Linked DNA regions of Oryctolagus cuniculus. The protein of the gene in region 2 interacts with the protein of the main gene of each other region in a pairwise test. Links are inferred from orthologs where the notes say so. Each region holds a gene or a part of one and is shown on either strand. Other genes may lie near its edges. The genes, in order: RAB25, MYO5B, RAB11B, BNIP2 and TRIM54.

Region 1 (4,238 bases), on a different chromosome or scaffold from region 2:
AAATAAAAAAAAAAAAAAAGAAGTGGAGCAGTAGGGGTCGGTGCTGTGATGCAGCCGGTAAAGCTGCTGCCTGCTGTGCCGGCATACCGTATGGGCGCCAGTTTGAGACCTGGCTTCTCCACTTCCAATCTAACTTTCTGTTATGGCCTGGGGAAGCAGTAGAAGATGGCACAAATCCTTGGGCCCCTGTACCCACATGGAAACCTGGAAGAAACTCCAAGCTCCTGGCTTCGGATGGGCCCAGCTCCGGCTGTTGGAGCCATTTGGGGAGTGAACTAGTGGTTGGAAGACCTTTCTCTCTCTGTCTCTGCCTCTCTGTAACTCTGACTTTCAAATAAATAAACACATCTTTTAAAAAAAAAGAAGAGGAAGAAAAGAAGTGGAGCATCCAGGACTTGAACAAGCATCCATTTGGGATGCTGGAGTTGCAGGTGGCTGTTTAACTTAGTGCACCACAATGCCAGCCCCAAGGATGCCTTTTAAATTTTTTTTTTTTTTATTTGAAGGGGAAAGAGAGAAAGAGAGATCTTCCATCTACTGGTTCACTCCCAAATGCCCACAACAACCAGGACTGGGTCAGGTCAAAGCTGGGAGCTCAGGACTCCTCAGGTTCTCCCAGCTTGGGTGGCAGGGACTCAAGGACCTGAGTTATTACTTGCTGCCTCCCAGGGTGCTTGTTAGCAAGACGCTGGACCAGGCACTCTGATACGGGGTGCAGGCAGCCCAAGCAGTGACTTAACAAGTGCACCAAACACCAGCCTCAACAAGATGCATTGGTGTGTGTGTGTGTGTGTGTGTGTGTGTGTGTGTGTCTCTCCAGTCCTGTGCAGGGAGTGAAAGAAACTAGGAGGGCTCTCAGAGGCCTCACCTGCAGGTCCTGCCCCAGCAGGCGCTTTCTGCCCTAGGTCTCCCCTACCCAGTGTCCTTAAAGCAGGTCTGTGTAGGGAAGCAGGGAGGTTGCAAGCCCAGCTCCACCTGGCCCAGGCCCAGGGCTGTCCCAGGGAGGGAGGCAGTGCAGCTCCCACAGCTCTGCCTTGCAGCAGGTGATTGGCAGCCCGGCCCCACACCAGCAACAGCCCTACTTCTAGCACCCCCAGCAACCCCCCAACCAGAAGTTCTGAAGGAGAAACAGGAAGCCAAGGGACTTTCTGTGCCCTAGGGGGGCCTATTTCTCCCTGGTGGCTTGGCCCCCTCGCCACAGATCCGTGTGGATCCAGCCCTTTGAAGATCCTGTGCCTGTCCAAGCTTCTTCCCCGACTCTGGCCCCCCTAGCATTGGCTCTGCTGCATGCGCGGGAGCCCAGCAGGGAGAGCAGACACCCAACCTGTCTAACCTGTCTGACGTCATCATCTCTCCACCCACCTGGGCCCCAGGTCTCCAGTCGCCCGCTCTTCCTGTTCTCAGCTTCCGTCTGCCCGCTTCCTTGCTGCACCCCCAGCTGCCTGCCTGGCTTCCGCTCGCCCTCAGTCTCTCCGGCTGGAGAAGTCGCTTCACCCCCAATGAGAGGAGGGGCGGGCCCAGGTCTCCCGAGAGCCGAGGGTTGAGGGTACTGAGCCAGCGCACTGCCTTGTCACCTCTGCCCCCCCTCCCCGACCCACCCAAAGACACCTGCACCCTCCATGCGGAGCCAAGATGGGGAACGGAAAGGAGGAAGATTATAACTTTGTCTTCAAAGGTGAGTTCGGGTCCCGAAGGGAGGAAGTGTGAGAGGCCCGGGAAGGAACAAACACAGCCAGAGAGGGCCCCTCTTGTGTTTTGATCTGGTCCCAGGACCCCCAGGGTCATCATGCCCTCCTGCTAAGAAAGCAAGCTGCAGGGGGAGTGGGGGCGGGTCTCAGGGCAAAAGTCCAGGGGCTGCCAAGTGTGTTGATCACCCTGAAAGTGCCAAGTTAGGCTCCCCTGCCCGACTCCCCGCCCACCCCCCCCCCAAGAGTCAGCCCCTGCAGCGCCGGAGATGGAGGTCAGACTTCAGAAAGGACTTCCCCTCTGGGAACAAGGGAAAGAGAGTCGACTTTCCAGGCAGGTGTATAGAAAAGGAAAGGAGAGAGCTGCCTCGCCCTAGGGCTGGGGGAGACATACAAAGGGCAGATGTAATGCATCAGGCAGGGGCTGGCCGGCTCCAGAGGAAGCTACTGCTTACTGCTGCTGGGCCGGAGCTTTGTCTCTCCCTCGCAGACTCCTTGGACTCAGGCCCCAGGCCCTGGGTTCCACTTGGCTGTCCCTGCAAGTATGTGTGTGTATCTTTCCTGCTTCTTTATCTCAGCCCCTGTGTTTGGCCCCTCTGTGTTCCCCAACCCAACCTCCACGCCTCCTTCAGGACAGGGCAGACTGGTAGAGCCAATGCTTCCCCCTCCAGCCACCCCACCCCACTGCCTCTCCCAGCCTCGGCCCCACCCTCACGCAAGCTGGGGAACCTGTACTCCCGGCATCTTTCCCAGGAAGGACGCCGACAGGCTGGGGGTTAGCCCTGCCTCCATACCAGCCCCTATCTCATTAAAAACCCTAACATGCCCCCTGAAAGTCATCTTTCCTTCTGAGAGGCAGTCCAGCCCAATGGTCAGGGCCCAGCCAGGGTTCAGGTCTCAGCTCTGCCACCTTAAAGTCGCAGCAGGTGGCAGTGTCCAGAGGCAGACACTGAGAAGGTTAGAGCAACACTGGTGAAAGGCAGGGGAGGAAACAGGGTTGGGCACAGGGAGAAGTTGGGCTGCACGCAGGCTCTATGCAGGGCGGGAGCGCTGCTAGCCTCACCTTGCTCAGGCACGGGGTGCGGGCTGCCTGGGAGAGGCTGACTTCAATGAGGCCGCTGTTATAGCCACGTATAGCCAGGGCGGGCGTGGCAGGAGCTGGGGGCCTGAGGCTGGCTGCTGCCTGTACTGCCTGCAGCGCGTGGGGCTGGGGTGATGGGCAGGTGCTGCACGGCAGCTCTGGACGGCACACCTCTGTGTTTGCATTAGCTGTGTTATTTGGAGTGTTTGTGTCCTTGTTGATAAAAATGAGGACAATCATAATGGTACTCACCTCACGGCACTGTCGTGAAGATTTAGCGAGTACTGGTGAGCCTGTAGCACAGTGCCTGGCACACACAGTAGGCGCTCAAACCGTGTTAACCAACAGAATCTCTGTTTTGCAATGAGAAACTGAGACTTAGAGGCAGGGTAATTAGCTTCCCTGAGGTCACAAAGCCACAGCACTCAAAAGAACTTTTCCTGGGCAACTTTGGAGCAACTAGGAGCTGCACTCCCAACAGGGAAGAGGCAGGTGTGCACACGCACACACACACACCACAATACACACACCAGAGGTCTTTAAAAAGTTTTTTTTTTCTTTTTTTACAGGCAGAGTGGACAGTGAGAGAGAGAGAGACAGAGAAAGGTCTTCCTTTTGCCGTTGGTTCACCCTCCAATGGCTGCCGCGGCCAGCGCGCTGCGGCCGGCGCACTGCGCTGATCCGATGGCAGGAGCCAGGTATTTATCCTGGTCTCCCATGGGGTACAGGGCCCAAGTACTTGGGCCATCCTCCACTGCACTCCCTGGCCAAAGCAGAGAGCTGGCCTGGAAGAGGGGCAACCGGGACAGAATCCGGCGCCCCGACCGGGAGTAGAACCCGGTGTACCGGCGCTGCAAGGCAGAGGATTAGCCTAGTGAGCTGCAGCGCCGGCCATCTTTAAAAAGTTTATGACAAATGCATATTATGACAAATGCTGCATAGACTTCACAAATTTTTTGCACTGGAATAAACTTATCTTTTAATTCCATTTTCCATGAACCTTAAAGCATCCTCAGTCAAATACACACACAACTCTTTCATGGCCGACACAAATACTGCATTTTTAATGTCAGACGGGGCCTTTATAGTTTGTACAAGCAAGGAAGTGAAATCCAGAAAAGGTGAGCCACTTGTTCAAGTTTGCCCAGCTAGTCACAGGCTGAACAGAGCCCACAGCCCAAAATACATAGTCCCAGTCCTTGGGCACCACTTTTCCACCTTGGGGCCACCCTGGGGGGCCTCCTCTGATCCTGGGTGCTCGGCTCAGTGCTGGCGCAATGGGTGAGTTGTACGGACACCAGCCCCTGACACTCCCCCCAGGCCCTGGCTCACCCACAGTCGGGAGACCCGGGCCCAGGACTCCATCTACCCCTAAGGTGGAGACCATTCTTCTTGCCACTTTCCATACAGAAAAGAAGCTTCACAGAGGCTTAGTAACCTGCTGATGGGCACAGAGCTGGCCCAGCACCCAC
Region 2 (3,512 bases):
ATTAATTAAAAAAACAACTATCCTCAAATGATCACATAGCGGCCCACACAGTAACAGATGGCAATCAACCTCCCACCCCAAAAAAGTATTACAGGAGGTTTCTCTGCACCTGCAATCACAGCCTGAGCTGCACCTGCTACAGCGAAGTCAGCCCACTCTTCCTGCTGGGACAGAACACTGGGACAGCCCATCCACGGCGGCGGAAAGCTCTCTCTACACCAACGGCCACTTAGCTGGCTCGCTGGCGGGGCCACACGTTTTCAGAGACTAATTGTGCACAGTTAGACTGCATTGGTGGGCATGGTTTCTGAGTCCACTGCGAAGGCTTAGACAGCCTGCTCATCAGTGGGAGGAAGGGCAGCCGTGCCCAGTAGGCCCCACATATGGGTGCATCAGAGGCCCAGCACTTGGCCCTGCCAGCTGAGGCAGTGGGTAACGCGGGTGGAAGGTGACCCCCGCAGTCTGACCTGGGTCCCTCTACCGTATCTGCTGCTTGGAAGTAGAGGTTCTGCTATTAACCTCAGAGAAGTGCGGCACAGGACGAGCCCCAGAAGGCAGCCACAGGGTACAGCGGGCTGTGCACAGGCCCGGGCCGCACACCAGGCAGCCAGCTCCCAGGAGCAGTGAGGACTAGCTCGCCTGGTGCCTCCTCTTCACCGAGAGCAGCCGCACATGAGCAGATTTCTCTTCTCACCCATGAGAAACGCTATGCTAAGATGTGGACCCTGACAGGTGAACCACGCAAAAATCTCAACCACCCGGAGTGCAACTAACTAACCACAAGCCTCGATTATCCAGACCATCGCCCCACTGTGAGAAAAAACAGAGGGGGTGGGGGGAGTGAGGCAAGGGGCTCCCCATTGTTTAAAGGGAGCTTTAAAACTACATATGCAGCTGGTGCCATGGCTCACTAGGCTAATCCTCCGCCTTACGGCGCCGGCACACCGGGTTCTAGTCCCGGTTGCCCCTCTTCCAGGCCAGCTCTCTGCTGTGGCCCGGGAGTGCAGTGGAGGATGGCCCAAGTGCTTGGGCCCTGCACCCCATGGGAGACCAGGAGAAGGACCTGGCTCCTGCCTTCGGATCAGCGCAGTGCACCGGCTGCAGCGCGCTGGCCGCGCTGGACGCACTGGCCATTGGAGGGTGAACCAACAGCAAAAAAGGAAGACCTTTCTCTCTGTCTCTCTCACTGTCCACTCTGCCTGTCAAAAAAAAAAAAAAAAAAAAAAAAACTACATATGCCTCGAGTGCACCATCTTGCACCGTCTACAGCCACAGATGTGAGCAGCTAAGATGGGCAGAAGACAAACCACCACCCAAACCCTGATTACTCACCAGGCAGCTATGTCTGGGTAGACTTTCCTGGCAAAGTCTCAGCTAAAATTTGAAATCCTTGAAGTAACTTTTTTTTTTTTTGACAGGCAGAGTGGACAGTGTGAGAGAGAGACAGAGAGAAAGGTCTTCCTTTACTGTTGGTTCACCCTCCAATGGCCACTGCAGCCAGCGTGCTGCGTCCGGCACACCGCACTGATCCAAAGCCAGGAGCCAGGTGCTTCTCCTGGTCTCCCATGCGGTGCAGGGCCCAAGCACTTGGGCCATCCTCCACTGCACTCGCGGGCCACAGCAGAGAGCTGGACTGGAAGAGGGGCAACCGAGCCAGAATCCGGCACCCCAACCGGGACTAGAACCCGGTGTGCCGGCGCCGCAGGCAGAGGATTAGCCTATTTTTGAGCCATGGCGCCGGCCTGAAGTAACTCTTACATCACCTTCCCCAAAGGATGACTTTTGCTATGACCTAGTCCCTTGAGACAGTGACAGCCATCTGCTACAGTCGCTGAGCTCCGGCAGCTATGGAAGCACTTGAGGACCTGCCTCTCCCAAAAGGCCCCCAACAGCTCTGCTTTTATAGCTCTGCCAGGTGAGATTCCAGCGTAAACCTGCTGTGTTATTTAAACTGTGGAAACGAGCAGAGCCTCAGGCTGGGTGTGCAAACAGGCAAGACCCCAGCAGTGCAGCCATTTGCCCCTCTGCCGACTTCCGGGCTATGCTTGGGCTCCGGAGGTCAGGCAGGCTGAGCTATGGAGGCCCTGGGGAGTCTGGGAGCTCCTGGGACAGCGGCGTGCAGCCACCCCAGCGAGCTGCATGAAGAATTCCATCTCCTGCAGGTGCAGAGTGCTCTGGCGGGTTTAGTAAGGGATGTGGGGAAACGGGGAATAGCTCAGAGGTTCAACGGGCAGAACACTACCACCACCACCACCACCACCACTGCCGCCGCCGCCTCCCACAGCCCACCCCTCGCACCTTAAGGAGGTCCTGCAGGACAGCCTTGCAGACGGCCTTCTTGTCCGTGTTGGCCAGCTCCCTCTTCGCGACCAGCACCCGGTACCGGTTGAAGAAGTCGTGGTAGGCCCACCTGCAGGGAAAGCAAAGGGGCGACAGGTGACACCCTGCTGGGGAGGGGGAAGGTCTACTGGGAGCCTCCGCAGGCTTGTATCAGGCAGGAGTCCTTCTCAGAATGGAACAAACAGCCCCAGGGGCATCCTGTTCTCCCTACAGGCCTCCCCGAGTCCCAGGGTGCTGCGCATGCCTGCAGGTGCCACCGGAGGACCCAGGGAGAAGTGGATCCCGAGGCACCACCCAGAGAAGGGGCCAGGGTCTCCACCCAAGCATGCGGAGTTCTCTCTACCGCTGCTGAAGCCGCCAGGGCCTTCCCTGGAGAGCAGCTTTGCTTTTCAGAGTGTGTGTGTGTAATTTGAAAGAGTTACACACAGAGAGAAGGAGATGCAGAGAGGAGGAGAGGGAGATAGAGAGGTCTACCATCTACTGTTTTCACTCCCCAGATGGCTGCAACAGCCAGAGCTCTGAAGCCAGGAGCTTCCCCCAGATCTCCCATGCGGGTGCAGGGGCCCAAGGACTTGGGCCATCCTCTACTGCTTTCCCAGGCCATAGAGTGCTGGATAGGAAGTGGAGCAGCTGGGATTCAAATCAGCAGCCATATGGGATGACGGTACTGCAAGCAGCAGCTTTAAACACTACATCACAACGCTGGCCCCTTCAGTGGTTTTTTTTTTTTTTTGACAGGCAGAGTGGACAGTGAGAGAGAGAGAGAGACAGAGAGAAAGGTCTTCCTTTGCTGTTGGTTCACCCTCCAATGGCCGCTGCGGCCGGCGCACCGCGCTGATCCAATGGCAGGAGCCAGGAGCCAGGTGCTTTTCCTGGTCTCCCATGCGGTGCAGGGCCCATGCACCTGGGCCATCCTCCACTGCACTCCCTGGCCACAGCAGGGAGCTGGCCTGGAAGAGGGGCAACTGGGACAGAATCCGGCGCCCCAACTGGGACTAGAATCCGGTGTGCCGGCGCCGCTAGGCGGAGGATTAGCCTAGTGAGCTGCGGCGCTGGCCCCCTTCAGTGTTTTTAAGACTTATTCCTTTATTTGAGAGGCAGAGTGACACAGAGAAAGGGGCAAACAGAAAGATCTTCCATCTTGTTCCCTCCCCAAATGGCTGTAATGGCTG
Region 3 (4,012 bases), on a different chromosome or scaffold from region 2:
TGGGGACCTTAACTGTGCCAAGAGCCTGACTGGTGAGCAGGCCCTGACCCCCACCAATCCTGTCATGCCCCTCACTGCTGCCCTGTCCTGTCTTCAGCTCCACATTGCACCTGTTCCCTGCCCCTATCTTCTTCTTACTTGCTGGATACCTTTGGGGCCCTCTAGCCTCAATTTTCCCATCTTTAAAATGGGTATAACCATGGCACTCAGGCTGTGAAGTGGAACCCGCGAAAGTGCCTTTTGAAGGGGTCAAAAGTAGTGAGTGGAGTATCGGTCGTTTCGTTCGGCCTGAGCTCGCTCGTATAAATTGATCTCAGATGTGACAACTGTGTTTGAGAAGTGGGAGCCATGTGCCCTGTGCCAGGCATGGAGACCTGACTTGTTGTGGTCACGGGTCACGGGAGCTGCTTCACTGTGATGACAGGGCAAGGGGGTGCCCAGGGGCCCTAACACGGCTGCATCTCCTGTAGACTTCACAGTCACTGCCAGTGTAGGGTCCCAAGCTCGGTCCGGCCCCAGCCCTGTCCTGACTTGTCCCCTCTCCTCTGCCTTTGCCCTGCAGGTGGCTGGTGGTTCGGCACCTGCAGTCACTCCAACCTCAACGGCCAGTACTTCCACTCCATTCCCCGGCAGCGGCGGCAGCGGAAGAAAGGCATCTTCTGGAAGACCTGGCGGGGCCGCTACTACCCGCTGCAGGCCACCACCATGCTGATCCGGCCTGCGGGAGCCGAGGCGGCCTCCTAGCCTCCTCACTGGGGCCTGCACCCAGGCTCCTCGTGGACACTGACTTTGGCTTGGGCCCAGGAGGTGGCCGGCCACTCCCTGCCCAGGCAGGGGCTCCACGCAGGAGCCATTTGGAGCCTGGTGGACAGAGCAGATGCCCGAGACTTGAGAGAGGCTCCCTGTCTGAGCGGGAAGCCACACAGGATGTTCATGGAGAAGAACCAGGGCCACGCACGGGACCGTGGAAGCGTGGGACTCAGGGGCATTCAGAGTCCTCCTCCTCGCCCGCCCGAGGAGTGGGGGACGCAGAGGGACCACTCGGAGATGGCCAGGCTGGCCTTCGACGGCGGACTCAGTCACATTGACTGGTGCGGGGCACCGGGGCGCCCTCACGGTGCTGCCGTGGTGTGAGCTGGCGCAGCGGTGTCCAGGCGGGGTTCACAGGATTCTTGGGAATAAAAGCAACTTCGGAACATTTTGTCCTTTTTTTTTTTTGGCCTTTGGTTTGTTTTTTAAAAGCGCACAAAGTCCACATCAACATGTGCCGGGGTGGGGAGGACGTACCCCCAGGTCTCCTGAGGACAAGGCTGGTTGAGCCGCCACCCTCCACTGATGTCACTTTGCTTTATTTATCCTCTCGCCCAGCGTGTTTTCCTTTGCAAAATCATGAGAAAATCCTCACTCGCTTCAGTCCCAGCACAAGCAGGTTAACAGAGAAACTGAAGCTGTAAAATCCCTTCGCAACCACATTGACGCAAAAGAATCTCAGTTTTGTTTTTTTTTTTTTTGAGATCAGAGCACGCATTTTCTGGTTCACTCTCCAAATACCTGCAACAGCCAGGGCTGAATCAGGCTGAAGCTAGGCAGTTCAGGTCTCCCATGCGGGTGGCAGGAACCCAAGTACTTGAGCCATCACCTACTGCCTCCCAGGATCTGCTTTAGCAAGAAGCAGAGGTGGGTTGGCTGGCACCACAGCTCACTTGGCTAATCCTCCGCCTGTGGCGCCAGCACCCCGGGTTCTAGTCCCGGTCAGTGCGCCGGATTCTGTCCTGGTTGCTCCTCTTCCAGTCCAGCTCTCTGCTGTGGCCCGGGAAGGCAGTGGAGGATGGCCCAAGTGCTTGGGCCCTGCACCTGCATGGAAGACCAGGAGAAGCACCTGGCTCCTGGCTTCGGCACCTGGCGCAGCACCGGCCATAGCGGCCATATGGGGGAGTGAACCAACAGAAGGAAGACCTTTCTCTCTCTCTCTCTCTCTCTCTCTCTCTCTCTCTCTCTCACTGTCTAACTGCCTGTCAAATAAATTAAAAAAAAAAAAAAAAAAGGAAGCAGAGGTGGGACTTGGACCCCGCGGCATGACATGCAGGTGTCCCAAGTGGCATCAACCACTGTAGCAAACGCCCATCCCCCACAGACTTTTGGAAGTACCTTCATACAGCTGACTGTAAATACGAATGCAGGATTTTTGGTAAATTTTTCAAAAAATTTTTTGCACCATATCTACATATTTTCTACTCTGGAATTTTCTCTCTCTCTCTTTTTTTTCCCTATAGCTTTATTTATTGAGAGGCAGGGCTAGCGAGAGGAAGAGAGAGGGAGAGAGCGAGCTTCCATCTGCAAGGAATGGCCAAATGGCTGCATCGGCCAGAGCTGCGCTGATCTGAAGCCAGGAGCCAGGAGCTTCTTCCCAGTCTCCCACATAGGTGCAGGGGCCCAAGCACTTGGGCCATCTTCTGCTGCTTTCCCAGGCCATTTAGCAGGGACCTGGATTGGAAGAGGAGCAGCCAGGACTAAAACCGACACCCATATGGGAAAGCCAGCCCTGCAGGCAGAGGCTTATCCTACTACATCCCAGTGCTGGCCACTAAGTTGACGTTTTTTTATGGCAATAGAAATTTAAGATTTAGCTTTTTAAAAGATATACTTACGTATTTGGCAGAAGAACAGACAGAGAGAGGTAGTCTTCCATCTGCTGGTTCACTACCTAGGCCTGAGCCAGACTGAAACCAGCAGTCTGGAACTCCACCCCTGTCTCCCATGTGGGTGGCAAGACCCCAGGGACTTGGGCCATTTCCCACTGCTTTCCCAGATGTATCGAGTTAACCTCCTGTGCCACAATGCCAGTCCTCAAATTCAGTATTTATTGAGTAGCTACTGCCTACCAAGTCCTGTATCAGATGCCCGGGCTATTCTAGCGAGCAGAAAGACCCTTTGCCCTCACTGACCTGAATGCCATAGCCCCTCCTATTACAGACAGGGCGGCCTGTGACTGATGATCCACACCGGGACACTTGGACAGTGAAGTGAGCAGCTCATTCCCAGACGTAATCAGGACCTCCTGACCCAGATTTTCCTTTTTAAATGTAGTCATAAGGGTGGGTATTCAGCACAGCGGTGAAGACACCACTTGGGACGCCAGTTCCAGGCTCCTGGTGTTTGGACTTGGCTGTTGCAAGCATCTGAGGGAGTGAACCAGCAGATGAACCATCTCTGTCTTTCCAATACGGCCAAAAAAAAAAAAAACATTAAAAATATATAATCATAGCTCTACCGCATCGGCAAAACCAAATCATTCGCTGTAAATAGGTCAGGAAAATTAGAGTTGATGAAAGTAAAACAATGCCTGTGCTTTAGGATTCTAGCTGGGGAACTGCTTTATGAAGACACTGAAGGACGTGCTTGGTCTCAGGAACGGGGACACGCTGTGAGAGTGTATTGTGAGCCAGTTCTGTCGTGTGTGCTCCTGCCGTGCACCTGCACAAAGCTGGAAGGTATAGCTCAACTGATGCACGTGGCCATTTGGCGCAATGGAGACTCAGTATACATGACATACACAAGGGTCTTGCTGGTGTAATGCGGCAGACTGCTCTACAGTAAACGTTATTTTCATTTCATTTGAAAGACAGAGACAGACAGAGACATGGAGAGAGATCTTCCATCTACTGGTTCACTCTCCAAATGCCCACAACAGCCAGGGCTGGCCCAATCCAAAGACAAGTGCTTAGAACTCCATCTGGATCTCCCCAGTAGGTGGCAGGGACCCTGGTACTGGAGCCATCACCTGCTGCCTCCCAGGGTGTGCATCAATAGGAAGCTGAATGCGATGCAGAGTAGCTCAGGTGCAAACCCAGATTTTCCAGTGTAGGAGGAGGCAGGCATCCCGAGCAGTGACTTAACCACGGTGCCAAACACCTGCGCCAAAAGTCAACTTTCTACAAGTAGGAGTACACTGTAAAATAAGGATAAAAAGTACAGGAGAGGGGCCAGCATTGTGGCACAGTGGGTTAAGCAC
Region 4 (4,304 bases), on a different chromosome or scaffold from region 2:
TGCAGAGTTTAGAAATCCATAGAGCAATTTTACAAGAAATGCTACAGCTGGTGACTGTAATAAAAATATTTTCATTTGGAGTTCATAGACCTTTTTTCATTTCATTTATATTTTATTAAAATATGATTCACAATTGGAAAAAAAATTTTTTTGACAGGCAGAGTGACAGAGAGAGAGAGAGGGAAAGGTCTTCCTTTTTTCCATTGGTTCACCCCACAATGGCTGCTGCGGCTGGTGCACCGCGCTGATCCAATGGCAGGAGCCAGGTGCTTCTCCTGGTCTCCCATGCAGGTGCAGGGTCCAAGCACTTGGGCCATCCTCCACTGCCTTCCCGGGCCACAGCAGAGAGCTGGACAGGAAGAGGAGCGACCGGGACAGAATCCAGCACCCCACTGGGACTAGAACTTGGTGTGCACCACTGGGACTAGAACCTGGTGTGCTGGTGCCGCAGGTGGAGGATTAGCCAAGTGAGCCACGGCACCGGCCAGAAATTTTTAAAATGATAATAAACTGATGGCACTCCAGAGATAGTTTGAGAAACACTGCTCTAAAGCTGTTCAAAATAAAGAGGATTTGGGATCAACTTGGTGGCCAAACAGGTTAAGCCTGTTCAGGTCCCAGCTGCTCCACTTCCCATCCAGCTTCCTGCTAAGGTGCCTGGGCAAGCAATGGGGGATGGTGGTAGTGCCTGGGCCTGGGGCACCTAAGTGGAAGACCCGGATGGAGTTCCTGGCCTCTGGCCTTGGGTCTGGCCCAGCCCCAGTCCCAGCCCCAGCCTCAGCACTTGGGCCATTTGGAGAGTGAACCAGGGATGGAAGATCGATGTTTCTCCCTCTCTTTCTAACTCTACCATTCAATTAAAGAAGTAAATCTTTACAGAGAAAGTTTTGCCGAACGCTTATTTGTTTATTTATTTGGAAAGTCAAAGTTAACAGAGACAAGGAGAGAGAGAACATCTTCCATCCGCTGGCAATAGTCCGCTGGAGCCAGGAGCTTCATCCAGGCCCCCAAGTGGGTGCAGGGGCTCAAGCACTTGGGCCATCTTCTACTGCTTTCCCAGGTGCATTAGCAGGGAGCTGGATCAGAAGTGGAGCAGCTGGGACTCGAACCTGCGATCAGAACCACAACAGCAGCCCCTAAATGAGACTGCCTTGAGATCTACATGCCTGAAAGTAAGCTTCGCATATATTTCCTCCCCTCGGGTCATTTACTTTATACAACACAGGCACTGTAGCGATAGTAAAAACAAGCAGAAGAAAAATAGCAATGACCCTGAGTTCGCAGGCGTCCTCACCGCAGGGAAAAGCGGAAAAAAGAGAGTAGAGACCCAAAAGCCAAGGGCTGCTCCAGTTGCCGCAAGTGCGCACGCGCAGGTATTAGCCCGGGACAGCGGAGGAGGGAGCAAAGCTGTGGGTTTGACTAGGAAGCCACGCCCCCACGCCCCGGCCGCGCCCCCCCACGCCCCGGCCCCGCCCCCGCCTCCCGCAGAGCCTAGAAAGGGTCAGGATGCTGTCACTTCCGCCCGGGCTGCTTTTTGCGTCCGGGTCAACTGCTGCCGCTGCAGCTGCCGCTGGGGCTGCGGCCGGGGACTAGGCTGGGTTGTGCACCGCTGACCGAGAGGAGCGGGCTCCTCTCGGCGCCGTCTTCTGCGACCTGGCAGTCAGCACCACGTCGCCGGCCTGGAGGGTAGAAGAGGACGAGGAGGCCAAGGCTTCCTCCGGGGTGAGTGCGGCCTGGGAGGGCTCAGCACGGCGAGTCCGGGCGCCGGGAACTGGGCTGGGGGCGCACGTCTGAAGGGGCGCTTGCCCAAGGCCGGCTGCTGCGGAGCGGAGGCCCAGGGCGTTTTCCGTTGTTCGGGGTGCGCTCGAACCTGCTTGGGAGGCGCCTTCCGGCTCCCCGCCCGGCTCAGGTCCCCGCCCTTGGCTCGGCTCCTTGTGTGCGTTTGCCAGCCTTGCACCCCCAGCTCCGTCGCTTTTCCGTTTTTGTTGCTTGTGCCGGGGATGGAACCTTCCCCCGTGTCTGCTCCTCCCTCCACCCGGGGTCTGGGCGCGGTGACGGGCCGCGTTGGTTCCGTACTGGTGGTCTGAGTCTGTCCTGTTGCAGAACAAAGGAAACTTGGACTTGTGTGGCGTGCCGCGTACCTTCGGGGGTTAGGCACGGAAACAGCAAACAGGGCTTTATAGACGGCCCCGGGCGAGCTCGGCCAAATACCGGGTGTGTGCGTGAAAAGCTGCGTCCCTCCGTGTTTACAGACACGGCCTGTTAAGTACCTGGCGAGAAAGGGTTTGATGTCCTGGGTGCGTCCGCTGCCCCTGGAGAGCTAAGCTACTTGATCAACCCGTGTTAAATCAGAAATGTGTTTCGATCTTTAATACGTTGCTTTGAAACTGACCTCGTCTGTCTGGGGGGGCTCTGCGCAGACAGCTTTTCTGTGTTCATTAAGGTAGTCCCAGTGCCTCCCAGTTGGTTGAGTGAAGTGAGTGCATTATAGTGGTGCTTTTTCCATCCTTGCCTTTTTTTTTTTTTTTTAAACGGGGGAGTCTAACTTAAGTACTGCTTGATTTTTTACTTTCAGTAAAATGTCTCCTTTTTCTGATGTTTTATGAGAGCTTCTGCAGTTGTAGAAGAAATTTTGTAATTTGTAAATGGCTACATTTCGCCAGAATTTTAATGGAAGTTACCTAGTGAAGTTAACGTTCTGACTAGTAGTTTCTGAGTCATCTTGCACGTTTTCTCCTTAGCTCTTATTTTGTAAACTGCGTTCCTGGTCTTGATCATCTTTCCTCCTGCAGCCTGAAGTTGGGCTTAGAAAGTATGACATATCTTCTGCAAACATGAACTTGAACTAGGTTGTCATCAAGCAAGGAAGGTTCTTGTGACTTGCAGGCATTACGGAACCTTTGAAACTAAGTGTACCAGATCCGGCCATGAGACTTACCGTGTATAAAGCTGCCAGTGGAGGAGCTCCGGGATCCAGGATGTGGTGTCATTTGCTCACATAAGACAGAACAGGGATAATAATACCAGTGTCGGCGCCTCACAAAAGTTGTCGGCTGGAGCAGATGAGATGATGGTTGTACAAGTGTCAGTAAGTGGTGAAAAGCACTGTTTTGGACAGGGCACTGTTCATTCTAACTGGATTAATGCTTGAGCGATAAGGATAAGAGCTATCTAGAAAAAAAAAAAAAAAGACACAGACCCAGATCCAGTATATTAACCTTGACTGACATTGGATCAAAAGGTGTCTTGTTAAGAGTACTTCATATAAAGCAAAAATACTATGATATGGTGATAGTAATATCACACAGTTGTTAAGCTCTTTTTAACGGTCTCTAGTATGTTCTGCATACTGATCACTTTTTGTTAAGATTTCTTTATTTATTTGAATGGCAGAGTCAGAGAGGGGAGAGAGATCTTGCATCCACTTGTTCACTCCCCAGATGGCCGCAACAGCTGGGGCTGGGCCAGGAGCCTGGAACTCCATGTAGGTCTCCCATGTGGGTGGCAGAGGCCTAAACACTTGAGCCATCTTCTGGTGCTTTCCTGGGCCCATTAGCAGGGAGCTGGATCAAAAGCTAGAACTCAGGGGATGCCAGTGGTAGCTTAACACACTATGCCACAACAGCGGCCCCTGCATACTGATATTTTGAGTTAACATTTCTCATAGAGATCTCATTTATTTTTTTTTAAAGATTTATTTACTTATTTGAAAGGCAGAGTTACAGTTAGGCAAAGGCAGAGAGAGAGAGACAGGTCTTCCATCCACTGGTTCACTCTCCAGATGGCCGCACTGGCCAGAGCTGGTCCGATCCAAAACCAGGAGCCGGGAGCTTCTTCCGGGTCTCCCATGAGGGTGCAGGGACTCAAGGACTTGGGCCATCTTCTGCTGCTTTCCCAGGCCATAGCAGAGAGCTGGATCAGAAGTGGAGCCAGGTCTCGAACTGGCAGCGATATGTGTGCCAGCACTGCAGGCGGCAGTTTTACCTGCTGTGCCACAGCCCCAGCCTTTCATTTTATTCTTAAAAACTTATATGATAGGGCCACGCAGTGACACAGTAGGTTAATCCTCTGCCTGTGGCGCTGGCATCCCATATGGGCGCCGGTTCTAGTCCTGGATGCTCCTCTTCCAATCCAGCTCTCTGCTATGGCCTGGGAAAGCAGAAGATGACCCAGATGTTTGGACCCCTGCACCCACGTGGGAGACTGGGAAGAAACACCTGGCTCCTGGCTTCAGATCAGTGCAGCGCACTGGCCGTAGACCTTTCTCTCTGTCTCTCTCTCTCTCTCACTATCTATAACTCTAC
Region 5 (3,512 bases), on a different chromosome or scaffold from region 2:
GCGTTTGTAAATGGTGGGCAGCGGGGCCACCTCGCAGTCCTTGTGGGCCCCGAAGACCTTGCAGAGGGAGCAGGTGGGCACCTCGCAGCTCAGGCAGTAGATGTTGATCTTCTCGTCCTCATGCTCTTCGCACATGAGGTGCTGCTCGGCCTTGGAGTGCAGTGGCCTGGAGAGGAGCGCACAGGGGCGAGGTGGCGGGGTCAGGGGCCAGGCCCCAGGGAGCACCCAAGCAGGTTGGGTGGCAGGGAGGGCCAGGTGCCAGCCCCTGAGGAGCGCCCGTGCGTGTGGGGCCCCTCAACACCTTCTCTTCAGCTCCACCAATCACCAGCACCTTCCCTGCCCCTGCCGTGGGTGCTGCTGGGTGGGTGAGTGACTTCCATGGGGCTCTTAATTTGGAGAACAGAAGGACTTAAGAGGTGGAGGAGGCGTGGATCCGAAAAGAGACTGCATTTCGGGGGCCCTGGGAGCCCCACGGGACAGCAGATATGAGAGGGGAGAGGGGAAACCTGGGCCTGGGTGGGGCAGGGAGGCCTGGCCTCTCTGGGTGGCCGGGGGCAAGCCCCTGCCTCCTCTGGGCCCATCCTTGCATCCCCAAACCGAAGGAGCAGATCGCCTGATTCCACAGCCCCCCCCCCCCCACGGAGCCCCCAGGCCGTGCCCCAGGCGGCACACGCGGCCCTGACGGCTCACCGCGAGGACTCCTGCTTGTAGATGTCGATGATGTTTTCCACGAGCAGGTTCCTCTGCAGGCCATAGACCCCGTGTCTGTCCAGGACAACCTCGTGCCTGCAAGATGGGCAGCGGAAGCGGCCTCCTGAAGACACGGTGCTGGAGCCCCGGGATTGCCACAGAGGGTTGGAGGCCTGTAGGGATGGGTGTTGTGAGAAGGCGGGCACGGCGAGGTGTGCGAGGACTGAGGGAAGCAGGGGTGAAGGTGGTGAGGGCGCAGGAGGAGGAGGAGAATGAGGCAGGGCGGGGCAGCTCCGGCAGGCGGGTGGCCATGGAGTTCCTGGGCCCCGCCTCGTCACCCAGCCTGGCTCTGTAAGTGTTCAACTCCATAGCCTAGCTCTTGTCAGGGCCCAGCCACGATGGGGTCTCTACCGAGGGGTCCAGTTTGGAGCGATGGGGAGATGTTGGCCTCTACAGGAAAAGCTGGGGTAGGAAAGGGGCTCGGAGCCAGACCGTAGCTGAGAGCTGGATCGGAAGTGGAGCAGCTGGGATTCAAACTGTCGTCCATTTGTGATGCCAGCACTGCAGGCGGCGGCTTTACCCACTACGCCGCAGTGGCATCCCCTGCCCTAGCGGTCATTACACTACACGGTCAGATACAATACAGCTTGGGCTAACTGAAGGTGATGTCCAGCGCTAACACGTGTCTCTGAGTCTTAGGCAGAGGCAAAGGTTTTCAAATGAAAACAAACTGCATTTCATGTTAAACACAGAGTGAGAGAAACACAGATGGAGAGAGAGCGCCCATCTACGGGCTCACGCCGCGAATGCCCCCAACAGCCAGGAGTGGGCCAGGCCAGAGCCAGGAGCCCAGAACTCCATGAAGGTCCCCCACGTGGATGACAGAGACCCTCGCACTCGAGCCGTGCTCTGCTGCCTCTCAGAGTGCACTCCAGCATGGAGTGGGATCGGAAGTGGGGTCAGGCACCTGCCCATATGTGGACGTCCCAGGTGGCGACTTAACCACTGTGCCAAATGCTTGCCCTGGGATGACTGAGCATCAACACCCTTCACAGAGGGAAAAGGCTACAGCCTAAAAATCGGTGATGCAACTCTAGATGGACGTTACTGAAGCAAAGATAAAGAAAAGGCAACCCAGGTGTCAAGGCCAGGTGTCCCACAGAGCGCCAAAGGGCTCCTTCCCACCAGAACGGCCTGCTCGTCTGTGACGGAAACAAATCCTGGTACCTGAGCAGTCAACCAGCGGATGGAAGAGCTCTGTCTCTCTCTCTGTCTTTCTTCCTCTTATTTTTTTAAGATTGATTTATTTATTTGAAAGTCAGAGCTACACAGAGAGAGGAGAGGCAGAGAGAGAGAGGTCTTCCATCCACTGGTTCACTCCCTAATTGGTCACAACGGCCGGAGCTGCGCCAATCCAAAGCCAGGAACCAGGAGTTTCTTCTGGGGCCCAAGGACTTGGGCCATCTTCCACTGCTTTCCCAGGCCATAGTAGATAGCTGGATCGGAAGTGGAGCAGCCAGGTTTCAAACCAGCGCCCATATGGGATGCCGGCGCTTCAGGCCAGGGCATTAACCCGCTGCGCCACAGCGCTGGCACACCCTCACTGCCTTTTTTTTCTTTTTTTTTTTTTTTGGACAGGCAGAGTGGACAGTGAGAGAGAGAGACAGAGAGAAAGGTCTTCCTTTACCATTGGTTCACCCTCCAATGGCCGCCGCTGCCGGCGCACCGCGCTGATCTGAAGCCAGGAGCCAGGTGCTTCTCCTGGTCTCCCAAGGGGTGCAGGGCCCAAGCACTTGGGCCATCCTCCACTGCACTCCCGGGCCACAGCAGAGAGCTGGCCTGGAAGAGGGGCAACCTGGACAGAATCCGGCGCCCCGACCGGGACTAGAACCCGGTGTGCCGGCGCCGCAGGCGGAGGATTAGCCTAGTGAGCTGCGGTGCCGGCCTCTCACTGCCTTTCAAATAGATAACAATAAAATAGTAAGACTTTGAAAACAGTTCAATTTCACGTTCTGTGCTTTTTACCGCAACTTTCACAGAGGGAACAGAGGGAACCAGGAGTGGGGGATCCTCAGCCCCTGGGGCTGCCGCTCATTCCCCGCTGCCAGGACCCACAGCCGAGGCAGCACGTGCCTCTCCCCAGCACCCCCCACACTAAAGAAGTTTCCTAAACGCTCCTCGCTCCTCGCAGCGGCTAATCCTGGAAGCCGGGAGGCCGAGACGCCCTCATTCCGCGGGCAGCCCACCCCAAGGCCTGTGCTGCAAGAGCCTTTCTCTGCGGGAGAGGAAGCAGGAAGCCGAGCGCACACAGGTGAGTGCGGGCACGGGGCAGGAGGGCCTGCACCCTGGCCTTCTCTGCGGCCTGGCTCAGCGCGGCACCACGGGCCAGCGTCTCCCATGTGGCCTTCCGGCCCCTGGTCCCGCGGCCCCCCTGGGCCCGGCCTGGCTGCCCCTTCTGAGACAGCTTCAGTTGCCTCCGCCCGACTCCCAGCCCTACTTTTTTGCCAGTCTCTGGCACACACACACACGCACGCACGTGCACACACACACACGTGCACTTTGCTCCCAGGACTACATTTGCCTGGCAACAAAATAGTAAAGCTGATCTCTGGGACTTTCCAGGGCTGCCCGGTGCGTGGTGCGAGACTCACGTCGCCTGGAGCCCTTCACTGTGCTTCCCAAAGCATGGAGCCACCTGCTGTGAGCGATAGGAAGACTGTGGCGGGTGGCAGCAGGGACATCGAGGGTCTGTATGAGTTTATTCTGATGCAGGTTAGGGAAAAACGCCTGTAAGACTGGGGATTTTTTTCCTGGATGTTATT

What was found.
Region 1: the proteins of MYO5B (region 2) and RAB25 interact in binary tests that used the Homo sapiens proteins (3 or more experiments, as listed by UniProt). The link is inferred for Oryctolagus cuniculus from reciprocal best matches to the Homo sapiens genes MYO5B and RAB25.
Region 3: the proteins of MYO5B (region 2) and RAB11B interact in binary tests that used the Homo sapiens proteins (3 or more experiments, as listed by UniProt). The link is inferred for Oryctolagus cuniculus from reciprocal best matches to the Homo sapiens genes MYO5B and RAB11B.
Region 4: the proteins of MYO5B (region 2) and BNIP2 interact in binary tests that used the Homo sapiens proteins (3 or more experiments, as listed by UniProt). The two-hybrid records come from large-scale screens. The link is inferred for Oryctolagus cuniculus from reciprocal best matches to the Homo sapiens genes MYO5B and BNIP2.
Region 5: the proteins of MYO5B (region 2) and TRIM54 interact in binary tests that used the Homo sapiens proteins (3 or more experiments, as listed by UniProt). The two-hybrid records come from large-scale screens. The link is inferred for Oryctolagus cuniculus from reciprocal best matches to the Homo sapiens genes MYO5B and TRIM54.

The regions. Positions count from the first base shown.
Region 1 is NC_091438.1:42,629,536-42,633,773, reverse strand, and holds the start of RAB25 (ras-related protein Rab-25), read left to right. Parts: upstream 1-1,428; 5' UTR 1,429-1,632; coding exon 1,633-1,675; intron 1,676-4,238. UniProt on the Homo sapiens protein: The small GTPases Rab are key regulators of intracellular membrane trafficking, from the formation of transport vesicles to their fusion with membranes.
Region 2 is NC_091441.1:28,139,837-28,143,348, reverse strand, and holds part of MYO5B (unconventional myosin-Vb), read right to left. Parts: intron 2,411-3,512; coding exon 2,299-2,410; intron 1-2,298. UniProt on the Homo sapiens protein: May be involved in vesicular trafficking via its association with the CART complex. The CART complex is necessary for efficient transferrin receptor recycling but not for EGFR degradation.
Region 3 is NW_027208201.1:4,438,430-4,442,441, forward strand, and holds the start of RAB11B (ras-related protein Rab-11B), read left to right. Parts: upstream 1-1,211; 5' UTR 1,212-4,012. Other genes in the region: ANGPTL4 (angiopoietin-related protein 4), read left to right, coding at 1-32, 563-744. UniProt on the Homo sapiens protein: The small GTPases Rab are key regulators of intracellular membrane trafficking, from the formation of transport vesicles to their fusion with membranes.
Region 4 is NC_091443.1:82,563,310-82,567,613, reverse strand, and holds the start of BNIP2 (BCL2/adenovirus E1B 19 kDa protein-interacting protein 2), read left to right. Parts: upstream 1-1,494; 5' UTR 1,495-1,722; intron 1,723-4,304.
Region 5 is NC_091433.1:175,681,815-175,685,326, forward strand, and holds part of TRIM54 (tripartite motif-containing protein 54), read right to left. Parts: intron 864-3,512; coding exon 691-863; intron 167-690; coding exon 1-166. UniProt on the Homo sapiens protein: May bind and stabilize microtubules during myotubes formation.